Linked DNA regions of Arabidopsis thaliana. The protein of the gene in region 4 interacts with the protein of the main gene of each other region in a biochemical or structural test. Each region holds a gene or a part of one and is shown on either strand. Other genes may lie near its edges. The genes, in order: AT5G51560, AT3G03770, AT2G02780 and RHS16.

Region 1 (5,508 bases), on a different chromosome or scaffold from region 4:
GTCGAGTGATTATTACAGCTTCGGTGAAAACGAGTGAAAAGTGAAAACGCAAACATTATTTTTAGGATCTTCTCTTTTGCTCACGAAGAATTGTAGTACTATTAGATAATCTCATAATCCTGAATGAGTGTTTTTAGTGGGATCACAATCCGAAATGACTATTTAAGCGTTAAGATTCAAAACAACTTCACATATATATAACCTTCAATGACTTCAATTTAATATATAGTTTGAAATTTAGTGTGAAAATCAAAATAATCGAACCTCGTTAATATTTTTAGTTTCATTCATGTTAAGTAATTCAAGCCAATTTTCCTTTTATAGTTTCTCTGCATGCAAATTTATATTTAAAGTGCGTGCATGTTGCATCACTTCAGTAATATGGTAGAATGCAAATTCGTTAACCGTCTCTATAGTTCATGACTTCATGATAGCATAAGAGATAAAATGAATTCAGGGATTTATGTGTAATCATTAAGGAATGAGAAAGTCACATAAAGCATGTAAAATAATTTTTGGGTCGTTATTTTTTTTTACTACGATGAATCTCTGCTCTCTTTTATATATTTTAGTCATGACTGAATAATGACAGGCAATTTTAATAATTTAAGATAAGTATGCGGTATGCCATGATCGGTAGACGGTAGCTCAATACAATTCCGACACAGAAACTAGTTTTTTTTTGGGTATTTGATAATGGGCCTTTTAGCAATTTTCTAAAGCCCAAATTTATTATTCTTGCTTCACGCAATATTGTTTAAAGCCCAATTTAGAGAACATGATTTCCATTCCGAATTCGTCGCCCAGTCACTTATTAGATTAATAGATTGCATTGCATTGCTTGTGCTTTCAATTTACAAATTGTCTCCCAACTCCATCGACACATCTCTTTTTGTGTATATAAGATTCAGACTTGTTATATTTTTTTTATAAATATGTTATTAGCATCTTAAGTTAAATTGATTTTTTATATCTGCATTAAGGATTACACGACTATATTTGCGATTGTGTGTTGGTTAAAATATAATTTAGGATTGTCTTTAACTACATTTAGGATTATATGACTATATTTGGTTAAATATAAAATCTAGCTGTGATTATTAGTATTCAAAAATAAGTAGCCTAACCAATTAAAACAACGGCTATTGGGGCAAATTAGAACATTTTAGTGTGTCCAAAATATAATGGTCATTAGGTCATATTCCTCCTAGCTTCATCGCAGCATAATTGAATGATTGCCTTATTTAGAAGAGCTTTTCCACTTTCCCAAAATCTATGTGGGATCTTTTTGTTTTGACCTTCATTTTTCTTGTTTACCATTTTTAGCTAAATTATTTACGATTACAAAAGATATCAAAAGTTGGATCATAATACAATTTATAGACTTACTGTAGAAAATTCGTATGTACAAGTACAACAAATTCTTCATAATAAATTTTGAAAATTCTATTACAAATGTTGTAAGAAATAGAATTTGAAATATATATAAACTAAGGAGAAAAAAAAAGAGAACATGCATTGCTCTAGTCAGAGTGGACCAACATCAACGAGATAAGATAACATAAAAACCAACTCACCATAACTAAAAACATCCCAAGAGATCCAACGATTCATATCAAACACAAAAACATCGAACGATCAGATTTAAACCATCTCTGGTATCTCCAAAACACAAACACTTTTTTTTTTCTTTTGTCTGAATGGAACAAAAGCATGCGACATCTCTGTGTCTTTATCTTCTCTCTCCTCTTCTTGAAAAACTGAACCTTTAATTCTTTCTTCACATCTCCTTTAGCTTTCTGAAGCTGCTATCTTCAAGCTCAAAACCAAACCCTAGAAATAAAATGACGGCGACACAAATGCTGCTTCATCTTCTTCTTCTTCCACTTCTCTTCCTTCACTTCAGCAACCAAGTCATGGCAGAAATCACCGACGAGTTAGCGACATTGATGGAGGTTAAAACAGAGCTTGACCCAGAAGACAAACACTTAGCTTCATGGAGTGTTAATGGAGATCTGTGTAAAGACTTTGAAGGTGTTGGTTGTGACTGGAAAGGACGAGTTTCTAACATATCTCTACAAGGGAAAGGCTTATCTGGTAAAATCTCTCCGAACATTGGAAAGCTTAAACATTTGACGGGTTTGTTCTTGCACTACAATGCTCTTGTTGGAGATATTCCTAGAGAACTTGGTAACTTGTCGGAACTTACGGATCTTTATCTCAATGTTAATAATCTCTCCGGTGAGATTCCTTCAAACATTGGGAAGATGCAAGGCTTGCAAGGTTAGTTCTTTTTTACTTTAATTTTAATCTTAATCATTGATTAAACTTAAAACCTAAATTTAGCATTGTTAGATCTTTGGTTTCTGCAAAATTCTTGTCCCAAGATTAATCAATGTTCTGTGGAGATTTGAAACCTAGAAATCTGAGCTCCTTGTCTTAGGGGTTTTAGTTACTTCATTACTATCTCTGGTAGTTGAAATTATTTGAATTAGATGATTTTGGAATTTAATGCTTTAATGATCTGTCTTTAAAACGTCCTTTTCATGTCTTTTTGTTAGGATTTTTCTTTTTGTAATTTTCCTGTAAGGAAGAATAGTCAAGAACTTTTTAAGATTCAAACTTTTAATTGGAACCATAAATGGCTTACTGGTCCCAAAATATGGACTTGAATTGAAGATAACTTGTACTTCTCTTGATTAATTTTGTTTATTTAGATAATTGATTCACTTACTTTCAAAAGGCTTTATATTTGAGCTTTAATTAGCAGGACCAGGTTTCTAAATCTAGAATTAGTTCTAAGTTAATGTAAGTCAAAGCTAAGCTTCATTCCTTTTTTGGTCTATGTTGTTGTGTAGTTTTGCAGCTCTGTTACAACAATTTGACTGGAAGCATTCCTAGGGAGCTTAGTTCACTGAGGAAGCTGAGTGTTCTTGCTCTTCAATCTAACAAACTCACTGGAGCTATACCTGCGAGTTTAGGAGATTTAAGTGCTCTAGAGCGGCTAGATTTGAGCTACAATCATTTGTTTGGTTCTGTACCAGGCAAGTTAGCTAGCCCTCCTCTGCTTCGAGTTCTCGACATCCGCAACAACTCCCTCACTGGCAATGTACCTCCTGGTTAGAAAACTGATTCACTATATGATCTTTGAAACTAACTTTGCGTATTTTGTGAAGTGTTTCTCATTTTGGTTTATATTTCTTTCTCTGTTGTACCGATTTGACAGTACTGAAGAGATTAAATGAAGGTTTTTCGTTTGAAAACAACTTGGGACTATGTGGAGCTGAGTTCTCGCCGTTGAAATCTTGCAATGGCACAGCTCCTGAGGAACCTAAGCCATACGGTGCAACCGTGTTTGGTTTTCCATCCCGGGATATACCAGAATCAGCTAATCTACGGTCACCTTGTAATGGAACAAACTGTAATACTCCTCCAAAATCTCACCAAGGTGCAATCCTTATTGGTTTGGTTGTCTCGACTATTGCATTGTCTGCTATTAGCATCCTCTTGTTCACGCATTATCGCAGACGCAAACAGAAGCTTTCAACCACTTATGAAATGTCGGACAACCGTCTCAACACCGTAGGAGGAGGTTTTAGGAAGAACAATGGTTCTCCATTGGCCAGTCTTGAATATACTAATGGTTGGGATCCACTTTCAGACAATAGGAATCTCAGTGTCTTTGCTCAAGAAGTTATCCAGAGCTTTCGATTCAATCTTGAAGAGGTTGAAACTGCTACACAGTATTTCTCAGAAGTGAATTTGCTTGGAAGAAGCAACTTCTCTGCGACTTACAAAGGAATCTTGAGAGATGGTTCTGCTGTAGCGATCAAACGGTTTAGTAAAACAAGTTGCAAATCTGAAGAACCTGAGTTCTTGAAAGGACTCAACATGTTGGCGTCTCTGAAACATGAAAACTTGTCAAAACTTAGAGGCTTCTGCTGTTCAAGAGGCCGTGGAGAATGTTTTCTCATCTATGATTTTGCTCCTAATGGAAATTTACTGAGCTATCTTGATCTCAAAGATGGTGATGCGCATGTTCTTGATTGGTCCACGAGAGTATCCATTGCTAAAGGCATCGCAAAAGGTATGAGTTTTATTTATGCCGAACCAATTTTGTTAGCGTTCTTGATTCATTTTTGTTTATGTGTTTGATGTTTTGTGTTTAGGGATTGCTTATCTACATTCATACAAAGGAAGCAAGCCAGCATTGGTTCACCAAAACATCTCAGCGGAGAAAGTTCTAATCGACCAGCGATACAGTCCTCTACTCTCAAACTCAGGCCTCCACACACTTCTCACAAACGACATTGTCTTCTCTGCACTCAAAGACAGTGCAGCAATGGGCTACCTCGCTCCAGAATACACCACAACCGGACGTTTCACCGAGAAAACCGATGTCTACGCTTTCGGGATTCTTGTGTTTCAGATAATCTCCGGGAAACAGAAGGTTAGGCATCTTGTTAAGCTTGGAACTGAAGCTTGTAGGTTCAATGATTACATAGATCCAAATCTTCAAGGAAGATTCTTTGAATATGAAGCCACAAAGCTAGCTAGAATCGCGTGGCTATGCACTCATGAATCTCCCATTGAAAGACCATCCGTGGAAGCTGTAGTTCATGAGCTAGGTAACTGTAGTAGCTGTCTCTGAGAACTCTCTCGAGGCAAATGTGTAATGTGTACCTTAGGAATCAATTAAGGAAGGGTTTGTTAGTCACCTTTTCCTGTGTTTAGGGTTAAGAAAAAGGTGCCTTTTCCCTTCCCATTAACGTTTAAAAACTGTTCAACGTGTTGTACTTTATTGGTTTGTATGATTTGTGTTTATGTTAAGCTCTTCAACCTTAGAAGAAGACAAGACAAGTACATTACTTTTAAAAAATTTCGGTAGATGGAAAATATTTATGGTACTTTGTCTTCTTTTTTTTTTATAACTTTCTGAACCAATTTATTGTCAATAATTCAATATAGAAAAAAAATAACGTATAACATTTTTTTTTCTGATATTGATCAAATCAATATCAAAAGAATTGATTTGTTAGATGGTTTTGATTTAGATTTGGATATGAGCTTTAACTTTTAAGTCTTTATTAGTCATCTAGATCTAGATACAAATTTATAAATATAAAGTCAAAGGTTAACTATTAGCATTGGCCACCAGATTCGAATAATTTACATGATTTTTCTAGACTTCAGGATTAGATTTTGGACCTAGTAAATTTTTAGAATTACTTGAGTTATTTGAAAGAAATAAATTAAATTATTAGTTGTCCACAAAAGACAGAAAAAAATATCAAATTATACTTTTCATTGGTCAAAAAAGGATTATACCAAATATCTAAGGAAGGAAGATATTGTTGATATAGCTAATTAATCAGTAACTAATCCTAACCGTCCATTTCTCCTCAAACCGCTTGATCTAACGGTAGCAAAAGGCTTCGATCACATAACACCATTTGTTTCCATAGAAACGAACGAGTCGTGGAGATTTATAAGCGAGACTTCTTCTTC
Region 2 (6,545 bases), on a different chromosome or scaffold from region 4:
GATTATCAGCATGAGGATGAGGAAGAGAGCGGTGCTGATTTTTCGGTGGCTGTTGGATCGACGGCGGTGGCTTCGAAGGTTATATTTCCGGCGGAGGATTTTCACCGGAGATGAATGTATTACCTAGGGTTTGTCTTTAATTTAAATATATCTCCGTTTTTATAATAATGTTGAGAAAGAGAATAAGTATATCCAGCAGACGTATACTATACATGTAGAGTTGTCGTGAAATATTTGAATGAGATATATGCATGTAGTTATTGGTTAATTATCATACTAGTTGGAATTAACTGAATTTACATACGAATCCAAATTAATAAATAAGTAAAGGATTTGATGATCCAACACCAGCCATTATCCTCTATTTTGATTTCTTGGACAAGAAGAATCAATCAAGCAAATCTTTTCTAAACCCTAGAAATCGGTTCCATCTCAATTTCTATATACAATTTTAATTTATTTTCGCTGAACAAAACAGGAAGAAAAAACGATTGAATTTTCCAAAATTATCTCACCATTGTTGGACTTGTATTCCTTTTGAAGAATAAAAATTAACCGACACTGTTCTTTTAAGTAAAGTTTATAAGAAAAATTAACTATATTATTAACTGTTATGATCGTTTAAGCTCAACACAACTAAAGACAAAAAAACAAAAACAAACATCAAATTACAAACAAAAAGGTTATGTTCTTTCCAAAGAGTAGTGATCAGTGAACAAGACCAAACAAAAACCCTCGTCTCTCTACCTCTCATGTTCTTCACATCCTGCAATTACAACCACACAAATAAGTCTCAGATCAATAAACTTATTCAATCTCAAATCTTTAACAATCAAATTCTATTCTGAACTGAATCAATTGATCATAAAAGATCGAGTTCAAAAATACCTGAATCTCGGGGAGATTCGAGTGTTGTTACGTGTAAACGAGAGGGAGGAGGAAGAGAGGAAGCAGCAGGAGAAGGCGAGCCGAGATTGCTCGAGGGATTGCTGTTTTGTAGCCAACCTTCTTGAACTTGAGAAGCAAACTGAAGATTCCACAGGACATCTTCAATGGAAGGACGTTCTAAAGGGTCTTTAAGGAGACACCTTACACATATCTCCATCATTGTCTTCAGTGATTGGTCTGAACAAGCTCTATGGACCGTTGGATCCACCATGCTCCTACGTGCTCCATCATCCGCTGAAATGCTTGCTTGTAACTACAACAAATAAAAAAGAGTTTTTAAAGTAGATGATAGCGATTCCACATCAAGCTACATATATATCGAATGGTGTTACCTGCTCTTTTAGAACATCGACTTGACTCTTTGCTCTCAATGGTCTTCCCACTATAAGTTCAAGCAATATCACTCCAAAATCATAGATATCGATTTTATCTTCGTCTTTGATGCTGTTAAGAAACAGAGGATTAAACCATATAAACCGGTTTACAAGCTGATGAGAAACAGAGGATTAAACCATATAAACCGTTTTTGATTCTTTTGAGAAACAGAGGATTAAACCATATAACCGGGTTTACAAGCTGATGAGAAACAGAGTAAAGAAGATTATTACACACCTTGGAGTGCCTTTAGGTCCGCTCCGAGATCCTACTTGCCCCACCTTAGAAAGGAAAGCAAAAGAGATTCAAAATTCAAGAAACAAAAACATTCGAACTTTTGACATCGTCATTTACCTTTCCAAGACCTTCCACAAGCAATGGAAGATTATAGCTACTGAGTTTCGCCGCAAGGTTATTGTCAAGCAAAATGTCTGTCATTTTAAGGTTGTTATCATAAACACCAGGCACAATACCGGTATGCAAGAACTGGATCCCTTTTGCTACACCTATCGCTACGCTTATGCGTTGTTCCCAAGTAAGCAATCTTCCCATGTGCCCATCTAGCACAGCAGAGACAAGAACAATCCGATTTAGTTATTAAAAAATATATAATGATCATCTTCATTCTTAAAACACATGATGTTTCAGTGTGGTACCAGAAATCCAGGTCCTGAGTTCTCCATTTGGGACATACTCAAAGACAAAGAACATTCTGCTGACTGTTGAATCATCCAAGTAGCACTCGAAGCAGTGCCCGAGCACACTAACCAAGTGACGGTGCCGCAGTTTAGCGATGAGCTCAATGTGATGCATCAAGTTTTGTGTGCTGCAACTTTTCTTCATTTTCAGACACCTAATTGCCACAAAGGATCCATCTTTCAATCTCCCTCTATAAATCTGAAAAGAACAATGAAAACAAAAATCTTGTTTGATTCAACTGTTCAAAAAATGGAAACTAGCTAAAGAAAGATTGAAGCTTCACTGCTGTACCTGTCCTTGAGAACCTTCACCCATGAAAGCAGAGGATTCAAAGTTATTTGTTGCATACTCGAGCTCCTCCAGTGAGAATGTCCTGTAAGCTGGAAGACCGAGCCCTCCTAGCTTCATTGTTTGAGAGATATACCCTTCAAAGTATTGCAGTTACAGCACAAGTTATCAATGAAGACAAGTTCTATGTAATCTATGTGACAATATGTGAGAGATATTTTATCCTCTTACTTGCATCTGATAGTAGTTTCGATGTGTACCCCATTGAAGCATTCTCTCTAATCAATCTTGGGGAAGATTTCGTCACTGTTTTCTTAGCATTTAATCTCCTAAGAACCACAAATAAGGCACCGGCGAGGAGAAGTACCCCGAGAATGCTTGCGGTTACACCTAAAGCAATACCCACTTTGGAAACTTTGTTCCTCCTCTGTGGTAGGATTCCAACAGCAAGAGCTTCATTACTACAAAAAGAAACTGGACGTTGATCTTCATTCGTAGTAGCCAAACAGTTGCTTGCATAGACAACATCTCTGCTAGTGCCGGAACTCGGTTTAAGGCAAGTAGGCAAACTTCCGGTAAGAAGATTTGATGACATATCTACAAACATCAGCTGTGAGTTGCAAGAAAGATTTGCTGAAAGCCGCCCGGTGAGTTTGTTGTGTGAAATGTTCAAGTAAGTTATCGCGGGAAGAGACATCAAGGAAGTAGGAAATGGACCAACGAATGTATTGTAGGAAAGATCCAAATGTTGAAGCTGATACAGAGAACTTACTTCTTCAGCTGAAACTGCAGATCTAAACTTGTTCTTGCTGAGTATAAGAGTAACCAGCTTGTTACTTAACCGAGGAAACAACGGTCCAAAAGAGTTTCCTTCAAGATCAAGCACTTGAAGGTTTGTCAAATGGCTTAAATCAGGCAAAGCTCCATTAAACCGGTTATTAGCTAAAGCAAGAACTCTAAGACCTGACAAGCTACTCAAAGAAGAAGGCAATGACCCATTAAGCACGTTCTTTCTCAAGCTCAACACAGCTAAACTCGGCAAAGAATCAATCCAATCCGGTAACTCACCAGAAAACATATTCTCGTCGAGTATAAGCGTCTGAAGAGTAGCAAGCGACGAGAGTTCATGAGGGATTGGTCCAAAGAGGAAATTGGAACTCACATTGAGAATCTCCAAAGAGGATAAACGGTTGATTTTCTGAGGTAACCAACCCCATAACCCAAGGGACACAAACGTGAGAACTTTAACATCAGGGAGCTTAACAAGAGTAGTAACAAACGAGTTTATTGAGAAACTCTTTGGTAACATATGAGTTCCATTGTCTCCTATAATGTGAAGCTGCGTTACACTATCTTCATAACACACAACGGTTAGCGAAGGGCTTGGCTCAGAATTGCAGAAATCTGTATAGTTGTTCCAGCTGTTTAACACTTTGGGATAGTAGAGAAGCTGTTGCAGCCTCAAGAGGGTTTGAGATTGAGATGATTGTAGCTGTGTAGAGCCATCAATGGAAGCTAAAAGCAGAACCAGAAGCAGTAACGGCATGCCACAATAGAGTTTCTCCATAGCCACACAAGACCATAAAACACACACAACTACTAAATAAAATCATATAAGCATCATCATCAAAACCTGCAAAGAGAGAGACACATTTCATTCAAGAATCACATTTATATATAATGTACTTACAAAACAGGGTCCACTCTCAAGATCTTGATATTTTAACCACTTTCTCGTTAATGCATTAAACAGAAGAGAATCTTAGAAATCAATCTTCAAACTAAAAAAATATGATTTTTGCATGTGAATTCCAGAAAAACAGGAAGAACTCACCACATGTGTTACAGAATCTCCTCTTTAAGACACCTTGCAAGAAGAAAAGATGCAGGAAACTTTTGAGCACAAGAGATTAAATTTTATTTTTCCTGGAAACAAAATTTGGTTTCATCAGAGTAAGAAGAATGAGAAAATGAAAAGACAAATCGTTTCCTTTGAGATGAAGAAATACCTCTGCAAACTTATGAAGTAACTGTGAATGGAATATCGATTTTATCTAAAGAAACAAAAAAAGTAGCAACTTGATTTAAAGAAGAAAGTGAGAAAAGTTCCCAAGAAAATCCTCTGTAAGAGATGAAAGTTCCTCAAGGAGCTTTAAAAACATTCAAGATTCCTTCACGAGTGATTATTATATCTTATAAGAATAAAACAGAGGATACTCTGGGAACAATATTAACCCAACAAACTTTTTTTATTTTTTAAATAGACAATAAACAAAAACAAATTCTGTAAAATCAATGCAAAAACATTTTAGCAACCATACGATTTAGTAAATTGTCAGTGGCTAACGACAGAGAGTTTGGTCCTCCTCTCTAAGTCTCCATCACGAGATGAAGACAACGATAAATTCTTTTTACAAAAATAATTTTAAAACAAACAAACAAAATAGAAATAGAATTTTTTTGTCCAAAAAATAATCTTGTAAGTGTTCACATGCATTTTTAACAAATTAAAAAAGAAAAAAAAAAAAGCGAATCCAACAGGGTCTGGCCGACGTTTTTTTCTGATCTTTTTATTTTTGGTTGTCTCACTATTTATACAGTACACAAAGTAAATTATTTTATCAGCATTAAATATGTTCATATTATATTATCACTTTCAAAAAAATAGGGACCAAAGAGAAATCCACTCCAGCCAAAGCTGTGGCCAAGAAAAAGTAAAAAGACAAAAAAAAAAAGAAAGATAAAAAGGTAATGATAAGAGAAATATTCTTTTAGGGTTTAGGCCTTTAGGGGGATGATCTACAAATACGAGTCTGAGGCAAACAAGTCTTTATATAGTATAGATTTAATTTTGATATTTTTTTAAAGTTTCTTATATGAATATTAATTTGATTGAGAAAAGTCTGTCTATCAATTAATTGGGTATGCTAAGTTAAACAAGATTAATCAAGAATGAGTAAACAAAACCAAGTAAATTAGTGTAACTCTAATTTTGTTTTGAATTTTGATCATGTAAGAAAGCTGAAAACAAACTAAACATAAAAACCACAACAACTACACCGGAATTTTATCAAAAACTAGGCTTAAAACCAAACTGAAAGAAAAAAAAAAGATCCATCCAAAAACTTAAATCTGAAAGAGGTAATATATATATTTAAGGTGAAAATAAAAAGAAAGCGAAGTTGTGACACATACTGTAATGTAAGCTTTCGCACGAAGGCATCTCCATCAGAAAGGTCACACCAGACTTTTAAAGTGACACATGTAGGTCCCAATCTTCTCCGACCTTTTCAAAGTTCAAGAAAACAATCTTAATACAACAAATTAGCTCACATATAATATGATCAATAAAGAATAACATGCAAGGAATTGGAAATCAAATTAACAAACAATTTAAACTAAACTCGTGTATTTAATCATATTAAATTGAAACTAAGGCATGATGTCTTAATCTCTTGACTACTCTCACGTGCCATGAGTGATTCATCTTTTTATTAATCTTGTAGTTTTTTTTAATATGATTCATAGTTGCAGGTATAAGAAAACAAGTAAAGTAAATGCTTACAAACATAAGAAAACAAAATTCTGTGAAATTTTAGTCCACCTGGTTTTATATAAGCATCTTCTTCTGTTAGATTTTTCTGTGCATCGTTTAGGAATAAATATTTAATTTTAATTTATCTTATTTTTTTCCTTCATTTTGCGTGTTTCATTTTTTGGTTAGTTTTGTTTTGTATCTGTTGGTTGCATGTCTCAATAGTCAATGTCGTCGTATACAATCATAGTTTAAATAAAACTAAAAATTGTTGGTGCAGCTTATAATCGACTAGCCAACTTTAAACAATACGAAATAGAACGTGGTAATTTCCAATTTCGATTTCTTTTTCCTTAACAAAAAAAGATTGATCTTTAATTTGGTAGACGAAAAGAAAATTAATAACGGCTAGAAATACATTTATACGACTATTTTAACTGGTAGTGAAAATTGATCGACTGGCAACTATAAAATTAATATATTATGAAAATTTATTGGCTAAGTGAAGTAATTTGAGATTATTTCATAGAAATACATTTATACGACTATTTTATGTTTTTTTCTTGATTACTATCATGCATTCATATGTTACATTATTCTGTTTTTATCACATAAATATATATACACTACATTAAAGTGATTTGTAGAAAGCGAAAGCAAATACTTAATTAAGACGTACGTTAGAGCCTAGAGGAGTGTG
Region 3 (5,467 bases), on a different chromosome or scaffold from region 4:
TGTGTTTGTGATCATCGAGCGTTTGTCATGATCCTGTCTTCTTGTGCCTATCTATCTTGGAGGCTCAAGAGATTGGTCAAGAAGTAAGAAGCTAGTAAAAGCCAATGGTATTGTAACAAAATTTGTTTTGTGAGCGAAAATGCATTGATCAGTAGTATGTATGCTAGGTGAGGTAACTTGGCAAAGCCACTTGCTGTTTTCGACATCTTACCTAACCTGGGTATAGCTATGGTTATTATAGTTATGTGGAACACAAGCACTTGTTTTTAGCTAGCGATACAAGTCATAACAAAGGAAGTTTATAGAATGCTGGATGAGGTAGAGACTTCTGTATTGGAGATTGCCCGAAACACGGAGTGTGGTTGAGATGGAGAGGTTAGACGTGAGCATAGTGAGAGGTTTGCAGTAACTTTTGGGATTTTCTATAGTATTCCAGGCACAGAGATTCTTGTTATAAAGAACCTGTGAAGGTTTTTGAAGATTTTGATGTCTTCATCAAGCAGGTTAGCAAGATTGTAGACTGCTGATTTGTTTTAAGAGATGCACGAATGTTCAGCGAAAGCAAGCGCGAATACAACAGAAGAGTCTGCAATGTTGTCGAGCAAAGCTGGACACACTCTCTTACATGTCTTTGTGTGTTTTTCAACTCCTTTTGCTTTTTATTCACAGATTACTAAGTTAGCTAATAAAAGATATTTCAGGTAGTCCATGAAACTACATCTTGACTTGTTTGAAACTTATTATTGTTTCTACAGTTTTTGCCTCTCTTTATGATCATTTCATTCATATATTGCTTTCATGGATGATTCATGATTCCCACTGCTTGGTCTCCATCCTTGCTGCACTTGAATTGTATACTGTAGATTCCACACAACGTCTTCTATGGAAGGACGCTTGCTCTGATCTTCGCAAAGACAGTTGATAGCAAACTCTACTGTCGTCCTCAACGACTCATAAGCATATGATCCTTTAACAGATGGATCTGCTAAGCTGCTCAATACTGATGGTTCATCTCTCAAACCGTTCTCCAGCTGCAGGAAATAATAACATTGAGGTTCTAAATTTGTAAGCCGTGTCGGATTCTTAAAGATGAAAAGGTTCTGACTGAAACAGAACAGACCTGAAGCTTCAAACTTCCCATCTCTGAAGATCCTGCAGCAACTACTTTCCCTGTGATGATTTGTAGTAGTATCACTCCAAACTGGTACACATCTTCTTTCTCTCTATCTTCATTACTGCACATTATTCATTAACAAGTTTCAAAATTTGATAGAAGAGAACACATTTGATCATATCTTAAGAAACAACAACAACCTCCGAGGTTTTTTGGCTTGAGGCCTCTCTTCTCCAACCTAGAAATGCCATTAAATTTTCTTAGATTCAATTAATAGAAGAAGAAATAAAACAAAGTTTTATACCTTGGATGGTAAAGGAATAGTATAGCCACTGATTTTTACTGTGAGTGTTTCATCAAGCATGATGTTCTCTATCTTCAAATTGTTCCCAAAGATTCCTGGTGCTACTCCCATATGCAAGAACTGTATCCCTCGAGCGACTCCTATTGCTATCGCCATTCTCTGAGGCCATTTCAGTACCTCTTTCTTCCTACAGTCTGATCACAAAAATTCCCATAATGAATAACCATTTGAGTCTATGGAAACCTGAATATATATTCTAATCTTTTTCAGGTTATTATTACTTGTGAGAAAGTCCCGCAATGATCCACTAGAGATGTATTCTTGAACAATGAAGATGGTGTGTCCAGCGTGTTGATTGTGGTCTTGGTTACTGGCAATGGAGTGTCCAAGAACGCTAACCAAATGCATATGCCTTAGCTTTGATAAAACTTCCATCTGTTGAGCTAAGCTTTGTGGCAAGCTCTTCTGCTTCAGCTTGATAACTCGCACTGTCACTGGTATGCCTTCTCTTAGACAACCTCTATACAGCTGTTCGAATACCAAATATATTAAGTAATCTATTAGGTTCGTCGCCAGAGTCTCAAGTCAAGTTTTTGTTTTTACCTGTTCGCAGAACAGGCTAGCTGCATCAAAGTCGTTAGTCGCTTCTTCCAGTTCCTCCAAGGAGAAAACGCGGTACGGTGGCAAACCAATCACTGCAGATCTCATTGTCTGTGGTACACGTCCTACACTCAGAAAGATCCTGTTAATGGTTTTTGCTAGAGAAAGACTCAGTTTCAAGTGTCCAAGTATTAATAAGATAAGTCATTGTTTACTTGAATCTGGTAATGACTTAGAGCTGGCAGTTGTGGTGCTGCAAACAGAGACTTTATCAGAGGCATGTCTCTCATTGTTGCTGTTGTTCACTTCAAAAGGATCATCTTCTGATCTTGATCTTCTTCTTTTGAGGGCAATCAAAACCAACAGAACCAAAATTGCTGCAAGGATGATCACACCGATGATTATCAAAATCACTAACCCGAGTTTGATTCTTGCAGAATCTTTATCTTTAGCCTTGGGGATAGGTTCCACAGCTATTGCCTTGCTTGCTTGGTTTTGACAGAAAGAAAGCGGACGCTGATACTTCGCGTTAGGAGTGCCAATCAAAGACAAGCAGTTGAATGAGAAAAGCACTGTCTGATTACTGAAACTCTTTGAAGAGTAGCAAGAAGGAAGCTTTCCAGTTAAAAGATTGTGAGACACGTCTAAAGTTATAATCTTTGAGGAGGTGCAAGAAGAATTTGGAAGTGACCCGCTTAACAGATTCTGATCCAAACTGAGAATTTGAAGAGAAGGAATCGAAAACAGAAACTCTGGAATCGACCCGGTGAATTCGTTGGAAGAAAGGTCTAAACTTTGAAGGTTATTCAGCTTCTTGATCTGTTCTGGAATCTTGGATCTAAAGGAGTTGTTCTTCAATGAAACAGTGGTGAGCTTACTTGGGAGTGAAGGAACTTCAGGACCGAGTTTATTACCTCCCAAATCCAGCTCTTGAAGATTTGATAATCCTCTGAGATCATCAGAGACAAAACCCCAGAACATATTGTCTCTTAAAACAAGGCTTTTCAGATTCTTCAAAGACACAATCTCTTCTGGAATCTTCCCAGAGATGAAATTAGAGCTAAGATTGAGAGACTCAAGAGACGGTGATAGCTTAGTGATGATCTTAGGAGAAAGAGAACCAGAAATTCCGAGAGAAGTAAGAGACAAAGTCTTTAAGCTCGATAGTTGTGTAAGAAGAGTGAAGAGTTTATGAAAACTTCCAGAGAGCTTACTAGTTCTGTTCCCGGTGACGGTTAACTCTGTTACGTGACCATGGAGGCAGATGATTCTCAAGGAAGGAGACGGACGAATGTGACAGAAGTTGGTTGTATCAGTCCATGATTGAAGAACCTGTGGATATTGTAGTTGCTTCTGGATTTCAAGAAGAGTTTGTGATTCACTTGAAGCTACCTGAGACTCAGAGAGTACTGGAAGAAGGAAAATAAGAAGAAGAAAAGTGAAGGAAGATAAATGGATTTGAAGAGAAATCTGCATAGTGAAGATGTGTTTTGCCTTTAGAGAAACAGAAACTCACTGAAAGTTATCATTTTTCTAGGAACAAAGACAGATCTATAGGTAGTGTAGAGGAAAACTTTGGATCAAGAGAAGAAGAAGAAGAAGTAAATGAAAGTAGAAAAGCCAATTAAGGTGGAGGCAATAAATGCAATCTTTAAGTTCTTAAACTTGGTTTGGTTGTTTGTTCATTACTGCACATTGCACAACCTCAACTTGACAGACTGTTTTGCAATGAATCCAAGAAGATGAAATGTTTATTTATTTGATTTGATTACTACTATAACAAATTAACAATAAGAACTTGTATTTCACATGATTTTTGCTTTGTTTTATTAGTAAAACAAGTGCTTTTGGTTATATATGATTGATCAGATAAGATTATAGAGATGTTTCATTACTTGTCGGTGATAGGTAATGAGGATTAAGAAATTTATGTCGTGTTTTGTCTTCGAGAGAGAGAGAGAAGCCATTAGGTTTGTGTCTTTTCTTTAAAAGTGTGGTTAGAGATTCTACCAAATGTCGAGCTGTTTCTTTTATTCTGATGAACTGTTCATTTACTAATGTTAGAAAATTTGAATGGATTTTATATGATCAAGCACATCTGCACATGCAAACGGCCTTGGAATAATCGTCACTGCGAAAGTATCATTTAATATTTTCTGCAACAGACATTTTTTTTTTATCGAAAAATATGCATTTAAAATTCAATTATTTAATTTTTATTAAAATTCAATTATTTAATTTTATTAAAATTCAATTACAAATCAAGTTTGACAAAAAAAAAGAGAGGTTATTTTGGGCTTCATACGTGTAACATTTAGCCCGTATATTATATATAATACGGTTAGGCCCAAAATTGTACAACCTTTGAGTCCATATATATTTCCAAATATTTTAGTTTCTATATGATTTTTTTTTTTTTTTTTTTTTTGACAAGTAATTATACAAAAAATGATTTACTTAACATTGGGACATATATGTACTATGCTTATTCCTTGTGAATGCTAATACAGTAAATTATTTATAAACTAATCCTCGATAAATTACTATTTTTACAAATTAATAAATTCTTGACGTTTTCAATGTAATAAATAACACAAATCAATGAAATTATAAAATAATAAGTTTTTAAAAACTCTTACGTAAACATATGATCTCATCAATATCATAAATTAATAATTTTACACTTATTAATATATATATATATATATTTAATTAAATTAGTGGGATTTAACTCTAGTATTGTTCATTTTTCTTAAATTTGTATAAAATTTTTAGTAGAGTTCATTTCTAATATTTTTACTATATTGAACAAAGTGTTTTTTGTTTACTAACTTAACAATTGGTTTTTTATTTGTAATTTATTTTTGAAAGACATTGATTATAAAGACAAAAACTACTTCTCACATAGAAATTTTAAAAAATTACAAAATTAATAAAATCTCTCTATAAGATTTATTAATAAATTAATACCTTTATAAATTAATTAGAATTTATCGGTTCCGAGATTATTAATTTATTAAGGTTTAAAACTGAGCCTATAAACAAAAGAGGAGGAACAAGATCGTATTTCTAGGGTCTCAAACTACAAAAATGTAATGTATGAATTCATTGTAATCTATTTCAGTTTGTTTTTTACTTAGCTATTTAGGATCCTAGAATTTATTTATGAGCTTCTTTTGATTAAACAAAACTTTCGATTATTGTGTTTCAAGAAAAGTAAACTTCTCGGATCCTAAAACTTTGATTAGACGTCATAACATGTTTTTTATTCAGAATCTGATTTGCAGCTTTTTTGCCTTTCATTTACTGTTTTACACTAAATATATAGACAATCATCAAAATTTAAAATCTTCTATTTAGTTTTAGCTCATTTATTAAAGATCAACTGTACAAAAGTTGTAAAACAAATTCCAGTGAATGATGGTAATAAGAAATAACTTAAAATGATT
Region 4 (6,483 bases):
TACAAGCACTTATGGGTCTCTACTTTTGTAAAAAAATTTCAGCTAAAGGAACTTGAGAAGATGGGGCCGAAGAAGGGTGTAATTAGTCAGTCTGTGAAAGATGTTATCCAGAGTTTAGTCGATGATGATCTTGTTGCGAAAGACAAGATTGGAATTTCTGTGAGTAGCTTAGTGTTCCTATGTTGGATCTTTTTATTTCATTTGTTGCCATATAGTCCTTGTCTCTGTTATATGTTGTTTGACGGTGTTCATTATTTTGCAAATGAAGATCTACTTTTGGAGCCTTCCCAGCTGTGCTGGCAATCAAGTGAGTCACCGTTCTGTATCCTGAGATGACATCAAAAAGATTCATATTAATTTGAGCATAGCGAAATTCATTGTTTCTGATCTCATTTTGAATGAACAGCTTAGGAGTGTTCGCCAGAAACTTGAATCTGATCTTCAGGGTAGTAACAAAAGGTTAGCAGAACTTGTTGATCAGTGTGAGGCCCTAAAGAAGGGAAGGGAAGAATCGGTAAGTATTTTCAGTATTGTAGAATTAATGCTCGAATAAGCTTACGTGTGCTTTTCACCAGAATTGCTGTTCTTGCTGCAGGAGGAACGAACAGAGGCCTTGACGCAACTCAAAGATATTGAAAAGAAACACAAAGATCTGAAGGTCAGATTATACAGACTATCTGTTTGCATAGAGCTATTCACATGCTTAACAAGTTGCTAACAGTTTCTTCTTCTTAAACAGAACGAGATGGTACAATTTGCTGACAACGATCCAGCTACTTTGGAGGCAAAGAGTTAAGTTCTGCATAATACGTTACTTTTGTTTTGTGTTAGATCTCCTATATGGTTTTCCCGGTCTTCGTGGAGCAGAAATAAGAATCAATCTTGTGCTTTACTAGCTGTATCAATGTGTATATTCCTTCTAATTTTGACAGGGAATGCAATTGAAGTTGCTCACCAGTCGGCTAACAGATGGACAGGTATTTCATTTCTAAAACTTGGGAATGTGTTTTCAGTTTTAATACTTACGTAATTTTCACTGCAGCCTAGATTATAATTCTTTCAAACTTACTCAGATAACATCTTCACACTGCGACAATGGTGTTCAAACAACTTCCCCCAGGCCAAGGAACAGCTAGAACATCTATACACGGAGGTATCTTCCAGATCTTTTCACTTCAAAAGGCTATAAATTCCACATTTCACATTCTCATACATGAAGGAGAGACTAAATCAGCTGGGTAACTTTCAGGCGGGAATCACTGAGGACTTTGATTACATAGAGTTATCATCATTCCCTTTGAGCTCATCCCATGAAGCTGATACCGCAAAGCAGCTAGTACAAGATGAAGCTTAGTTCTAATACTCTCCAGCATAACAGTTAAAGAAACAATAGCTTAAGTAAAAAATCTTTTCACTATCCTTTTAAGTTTTCTGGTTTTAAAGGTTGCAACAGTCTGTAATTCTCTATGTGACCCAATCATCTAATGTCAAAACTCGGTTACAAATTCTGTGGTCAGAAAAGATTTTTATTTTCTTTGTATCTGTCGGCTATGTCCAAGCTTGGCTATGTTTTGTTATAATATTTTATTGGAGTTATATATATATCATGCGTTAGTTGTTGACCCACTGGTTACTTCTTGATAGCTGTATTACCATTTTATATTCTTTCTTGGCCGCTTTTTTCAGTCGTGAGCAGCACTTATGTTATACACCTCCAGGTCAATTTTGTTGCTACCAGAAGAGGAAATGGGCATAGACTTTGTACTTTCTAGTCTTTTGTGTTTTTGTGTTATCTTAAACGCAGGTTGTCTGTTTTTCTGACGATGATGAGCTGAGCTTTACAAAATAAGAAGAACATGGGAGCTCACTCTGTTTTTCTCATCCTTTTTTCCGTCATTGCCATTGCCATTGTAGTACATGGCCAAGGCCAAGCAGGTTCGTGAGTCTCATTCTCGCTTATTTTCCTCTGTTAGAGTCTGTTTTGATTTGAAAATGAGCAATCTTCAGACCAAAGATTTTTGAAGTTTTGATATATGTGGTTGCATTTTGGCCAAAACCGTGTTCTGATTATTGGTTTGACATGATAAGTGAGGTCCAAGTCTGTTTCTATGATTGAATGCTTTAGGTTCTAAAATTTAAACCTGCATTGGAATTTTGATGAAAATTTTCTCAACGTTGTAGAATTAATCAAAACCCTTACCTTCTTCTGGTCCAGGTTTCATCAGCATAGATTGTGGGTCACCCCCTAATATTAACTATGTAGACACTGATACTGGTATCAGTTACACCTGGGATGCACCTTTCATCAACGCTGGAGTAAATCTGAACGTCTCTGAAGAATACGGTTACCCGAAAAACCCGGTTTTGCCTTTCCCGCTTGCTGATGTAAGATCTTTTCCTCAAGGAAACAGGAACTGTTACACCTTAACCCCCTCCGATGGAAAAGGGAATCTTTATCTCATCAGAGCTTCGTTTATGTATGGAAACTACGATGGTAAAAATGCTTTACCTGAGTTTGATCTCTACGTAAACGTGAATTTCTGGACCTCGGTGAAACTCAGAAATGCTTCTGAGAACGTCATCAAGGAGATCCTCAGCTTTGCAGAGTCAGATACAATATATGTTTGCCTTGTGAACAAAGGTAAAGGAACTCCTTTTATTTCAGCGTTGGAGCTTCGACCAATGAACAGCTCCATCTATGGAACTGAGTTTGGAAGAAATGTCTCATTGGTACTCTATCAAAGATGGGATACAGGATATTTGAATGGAACAGGACGGTACCAAAAGGATACATATGATCGTATTTGGTCTCCGTACTCTCCAGTGTCTTGGAATACAACTATGACTACTGGGTATATCGATATTTTTCAGTCTGGTTATAGGCCACCAGATGAAGTTATTAAGACAGCTGCTTCGCCTAAAAGTGACGATGAACCATTGGAACTGTCTTGGACATCAAGCGATCCAGATACTCGGTTTTATGCGTACCTTTATTTTGCAGAACTTGAAAATCTCAAGAGGAATGAGAGCAGAGAAATCAAGATATTCTGGAATGGGTCGCCTGTTTCAGGAGCTTTTAACCCCTCTCCTGAGTATTCAATGACAGTGTCTAACTCACGAGCTTTCACTGGTAAAGATCACTGGATTTCTGTTCAGAAGACCGCAGAGTCAACGCGTCCACCAATACTCAATGCTATTGAGATTTTTTCAGCACAATCTCTGGATGAATTTTACACCAGAATTGACGATGGTGTGTTCATCTCTACTTTGTTAGTCGTCTACGTATATTTTGTTCTGGTCTTTAATTTTCACTGACACTCACAGTTTTCCATTTTCTATTGGTAATGCAGTTCAAGCCATAGAAAGCATAAAATCAACGTATAAAGTGAATAAGATTTGGACTGGTGATCCTTGCTCTCCCAGACTCTTCCCTTGGGAAGGTATTGGATGCAGCTACAACACTTCTAGTTATCAAATCAAGTCCCTGTAAGTCATTCATTCATTTCAACCTGAAAAAACTCATTGTGTAATTTCCCTCAAACTTAAGTTTTGCTGATGAGCTTGTTTCTGTATTTTGCTGCGAGAAGAAATCTTAGTTCAAGTGGATTACATGGACCAATAGCGTTCGCATTTAGAAATCTCTCCCTTCTTGAGTCATTGTAAGTATACAAACACATTGAAACTTGCCACCACTTTATTCACAGTAACTATAATAGTGGTGTGCATTGTTTTCCCAGGGATTTATCAAACAACAACCTCAAAGGAATTGTGCCGGAATTTTTGGCTGATCTAAAATATCTGAAGTCCCTGTGAGTTGAGCACATAGAGAACCTCGTTGAGTTTGTATTGATAGACAATCAAAATAGTATTTTGTCTCTGACATTAATTTGTGTCGCAGGAATTTGAAAGGAAATAACTTGACTGGGTTTATCCCAAGATCTCTTAGGAAAAGAGCAACGGCTAATGGACTTGCACTCAGGTACACGGAACCATAGTCATTTTGCCGCGTCTCTACCATTTTCAAAAGCTTATTGATTTCCTCTTTGTCTCCAGTGTCGATGAACAAAACATTTGTCACTCACGTTCATGTCGGGACGGGAACAGAATCATGGTGCCAATAGTTGTATCCACATTAGTGATTATTCTCATTGCCGCCTTGGCTATCATATGCATCATGCGAAGGGAAAGCAAAATAAGTAAGTACAGAGTGTCTTTTACTTAGATTTAAATTTAATAAGGTAGAATTAATGCTGAAAGAAAACGAGTGTTTAATTTCCTAGTGTATTCAGGAGCATATTCAGGACCACTTCTGCCTTCGGGAAAGAGAAGGTTCACATATAGTGAAGTCTCTAGTATTACAAACAACTTCAATAAAGTGATTGGTAAAGGAGGGTTTGGTATTGTGTACCTTGGTTCCCTTGAAGATGGAACTGAAATTGCTGTAAAGATGATCAACGATTCTTCTTTTGGAAAATCTAAAGGATCTTCATCATCATCATCATCATCCCAGGTCTCCAAAGAATTCCAAGTCGAGGTAACGTAACACTAGAATCATTAATCCGATAAATTAGACAATGTTGTTTTATGGTTGCTGAAGTGTAAAATGTATGCAGGCGGAGCTTCTTTTGACAGTCCATCACCGGAACTTAGCTTCGTTTGTTGGATACTGCGATGATGGTCGCAGTATGGCTCTCATCTACGAGTACATGGCCAATGGCAACTTGCAAGATTATCTTTCAAGTATTCTTCATCTCTCTCGATCTCTCTATTGCCAATTTTCGCTGCCTTTGCGCTCACGGATGTTTTGTTTACGGATATTCAGGTGAGAATGCAGAGGATCTTAGTTGGGAAAAGAGACTCCATATAGCCATAGACTCTGCACAAGGTTGGTCCCAGTTTTGACATCCTGAAATGTTCAAAAGCTAAGAGACATCAAACCCGGTTTAGTCTGGTTGTAAATCCCCTTATTGATTTGTTTTCCTTGGCAGGGTTGGAGTATCTTCATCATGGCTGCAGGCCACCAATAGTACACAGAGACGTTAAAACAGCAAACATTCTTTTAAACGATAACTTGGAAGCCAAGATCGCTGATTTCGGGCTTTCTAAGGTCTTCCCTGAGGATGATCTCAGCCACGTTGTGACTGCTGTCATGGGCACTCCTGGCTATGTCGATCCTGAGTAAGTTTCCTTAACACATCACCACTTTTAATCTTTACCATTTTGGTCATGTTGGTCTCATCATAAACTGGTTTCAAAATAGGTACTACAACACGTTTAAGCTAAACGAGAAGAGCGACGTGTACAGCTTTGGGATCGTCCTCCTTGAACTCATAACCGGCAAGAGATCCATAATGAAAACTGACGACGGAGAAAAAATGAACGTTGTTCACTACGTCGAGCCTTTCCTCAAAATGGGAGACATAGATGGTGTCGTGGATCCACGGCTTCACGGCGACTTCTCCTCAAACTCGGCTTGGAAATTTGTGGAAGTGGCAATGTCTTGCGTCAGAGACAGAGGAACCAACAGACCAAACACAAACCAGATCGTGTCTGACTTGAAACAGTGCTTAGCTGCCGAGCTAGCTCGTGAGCCAAAAAGCAATCATGAGAAGAAGGAAGTAGTGAAAGAGAAGTACACGAAGACCAAGTCGACGGTTCAGAATTATAGCAGCAATGAATATAATAGCTCATCTGGATCGGTTTCACTTTCTTTTGGAGATTACTCCACGTTTGGCCCAATGGCAAGGTAGTGTGAGAAATAAGTTATTTTAACTAACTCAAGGTTTGATTCATCATTTGTTTTTGTCACTGAAAGTTTATTTTGATTCATCATTTATGGGTTCTCATTTTATTTTATTTTGTTATTTTCAAAGATCATATATGATTTAAATTTGATTCTTTTGGTTTAAAGATTCATTCGTTTTTGTTTTCTTATAAGAAAATTTGTTACCACGAAAACATTAAATTGTAAGAACAAGCAAGTTGTCTATGTTTTTTTTTTTTTTTCAATAAACTAATCGAGCAGAAAAGTGGTTAAAGGACAAAGAAAACTAAAACAGAATTATACGGTATGATTATTTCTTGCTGTAGAAATTTTGTTGTAACTATGTTGGCTATAACTGTAATTTTTATTGCTGTAGAATTATTGCTGTAAGTTTTTTTATTTTAAATATTTATAAAAAATAGATTAACAAATATAATAATTATAATAAAATATTTTATTTATAGTAAATAAAATGCCTTGTATTACTATTTTAAATAAATATATTATGATAATAGAAAAAAAATCTATGAATTCTTGATAAAAGAAATTGTTTTTTTTTTTTAAGTTTGATAATTATCTGTTTTTTTATAACTTATCTTTGTTTTTTTGTTATATATTTATGTTGATAATTTCAATTTCTTGTATTTATTTAATGAATTAAAATTTGTACAGTCAAGAAAATAAAGCTTTGAGAATTTACTCTACTACAATCTTAAAAA

The links.
Region 1: the proteins of RHS16 (region 4) and AT5G51560 form a complex in vitro, tested with the Arabidopsis thaliana proteins (one large-scale study listed by BioGRID).
Region 2: the proteins of RHS16 (region 4) and AT3G03770 form a complex in vitro, tested with the Arabidopsis thaliana proteins (one large-scale study listed by BioGRID).
Region 3: the proteins of RHS16 (region 4) and AT2G02780 form a complex in vitro, tested with the Arabidopsis thaliana proteins (one large-scale study listed by BioGRID).

Annotation. Positions count from the first base shown.
Region 1 is NC_003076.8:20,943,963-20,949,470, forward strand, and holds AT5G51560 (Leucine-rich repeat protein kinase family protein), read left to right. Parts: upstream 1-1,713; 5' UTR 1,714-1,844; coding exon 1,845-2,283; intron 2,284-2,858; coding exon 2,859-3,119; intron 3,120-3,226; coding exon 3,227-4,087; intron 4,088-4,169; coding exon 4,170-4,651; 3' UTR 4,652-4,977; downstream 4,978-5,508.
Region 2 is NC_003074.8:944,560-951,104, forward strand, and holds AT3G03770 (Leucine-rich repeat protein kinase family protein), read right to left. Parts: upstream 4,680-6,545; 5' UTR 4,320-4,679; exon of another isoform or gene 4,237-4,319; 5' UTR 4,145-4,236; intron 3,944-4,144; 5' UTR 3,878-3,943; coding exon 2,542-3,877; intron 2,448-2,541; coding exon 2,314-2,447; intron 2,221-2,313; coding exon 1,980-2,220; intron 1,884-1,979; coding exon 1,678-1,883; intron 1,605-1,677; coding exon 1,561-1,604; intron 1,393-1,560; coding exon 1,281-1,392; intron 1,202-1,280; coding exon 889-1,201; intron 767-888; coding exon 744-766; 3' UTR 518-743; downstream 1-517. Other genes in the region: LBD20 (LOB domain-containing protein 20), read left to right, coding at 1-114.
Region 3 is NC_003071.7:781,153-786,619, forward strand, and holds AT2G02780 (Leucine-rich repeat protein kinase family protein), read right to left. Parts: upstream 3,771-5,467; 5' UTR 3,495-3,770; coding exon 2,234-3,494; intron 2,144-2,233; coding exon 2,022-2,143; intron 1,947-2,021; coding exon 1,700-1,946; intron 1,613-1,699; coding exon 1,419-1,612; intron 1,353-1,418; coding exon 1,315-1,352; coding exon of another isoform or gene 1,290-1,314; exon of another isoform or gene 1,236-1,289; coding exon 1,121-1,235; coding exon of another isoform or gene 1,058-1,120; exon of another isoform or gene 1,032-1,057; coding exon 780-1,031; 3' UTR 522-779; downstream 1-521.
Region 4 is NC_003075.7:14,383,775-14,390,257, forward strand, and holds RHS16 (root hair specific 16), read left to right. Parts: upstream 1-1,696; 5' UTR 1,697-1,856; coding exon 1,857-1,935; intron 1,936-2,215; coding exon 2,216-3,250; intron 3,251-3,350; coding exon 3,351-3,486; intron 3,487-3,547; coding exon of another isoform or gene 3,548-3,587; coding exon 3,588-3,659; intron 3,660-3,737; coding exon 3,738-3,809; intron 3,810-3,898; coding exon 3,899-3,979; intron 3,980-4,053; coding exon 4,054-4,196; intron 4,197-4,280; coding exon 4,281-4,534; intron 4,535-4,613; coding exon 4,614-4,740; intron 4,741-4,822; coding exon 4,823-4,885; intron 4,886-4,988; coding exon 4,989-5,178; intron 5,179-5,260; coding exon 5,261-5,750; 3' UTR 5,751-5,956; downstream 5,957-6,483. Other genes in the region: ATMND1 (Mnd1 family protein), read left to right, coding at 43-159, 269-307, 407-514, 596-658, 740-791, 933-977, 1,074-1,153, 1,250-1,354.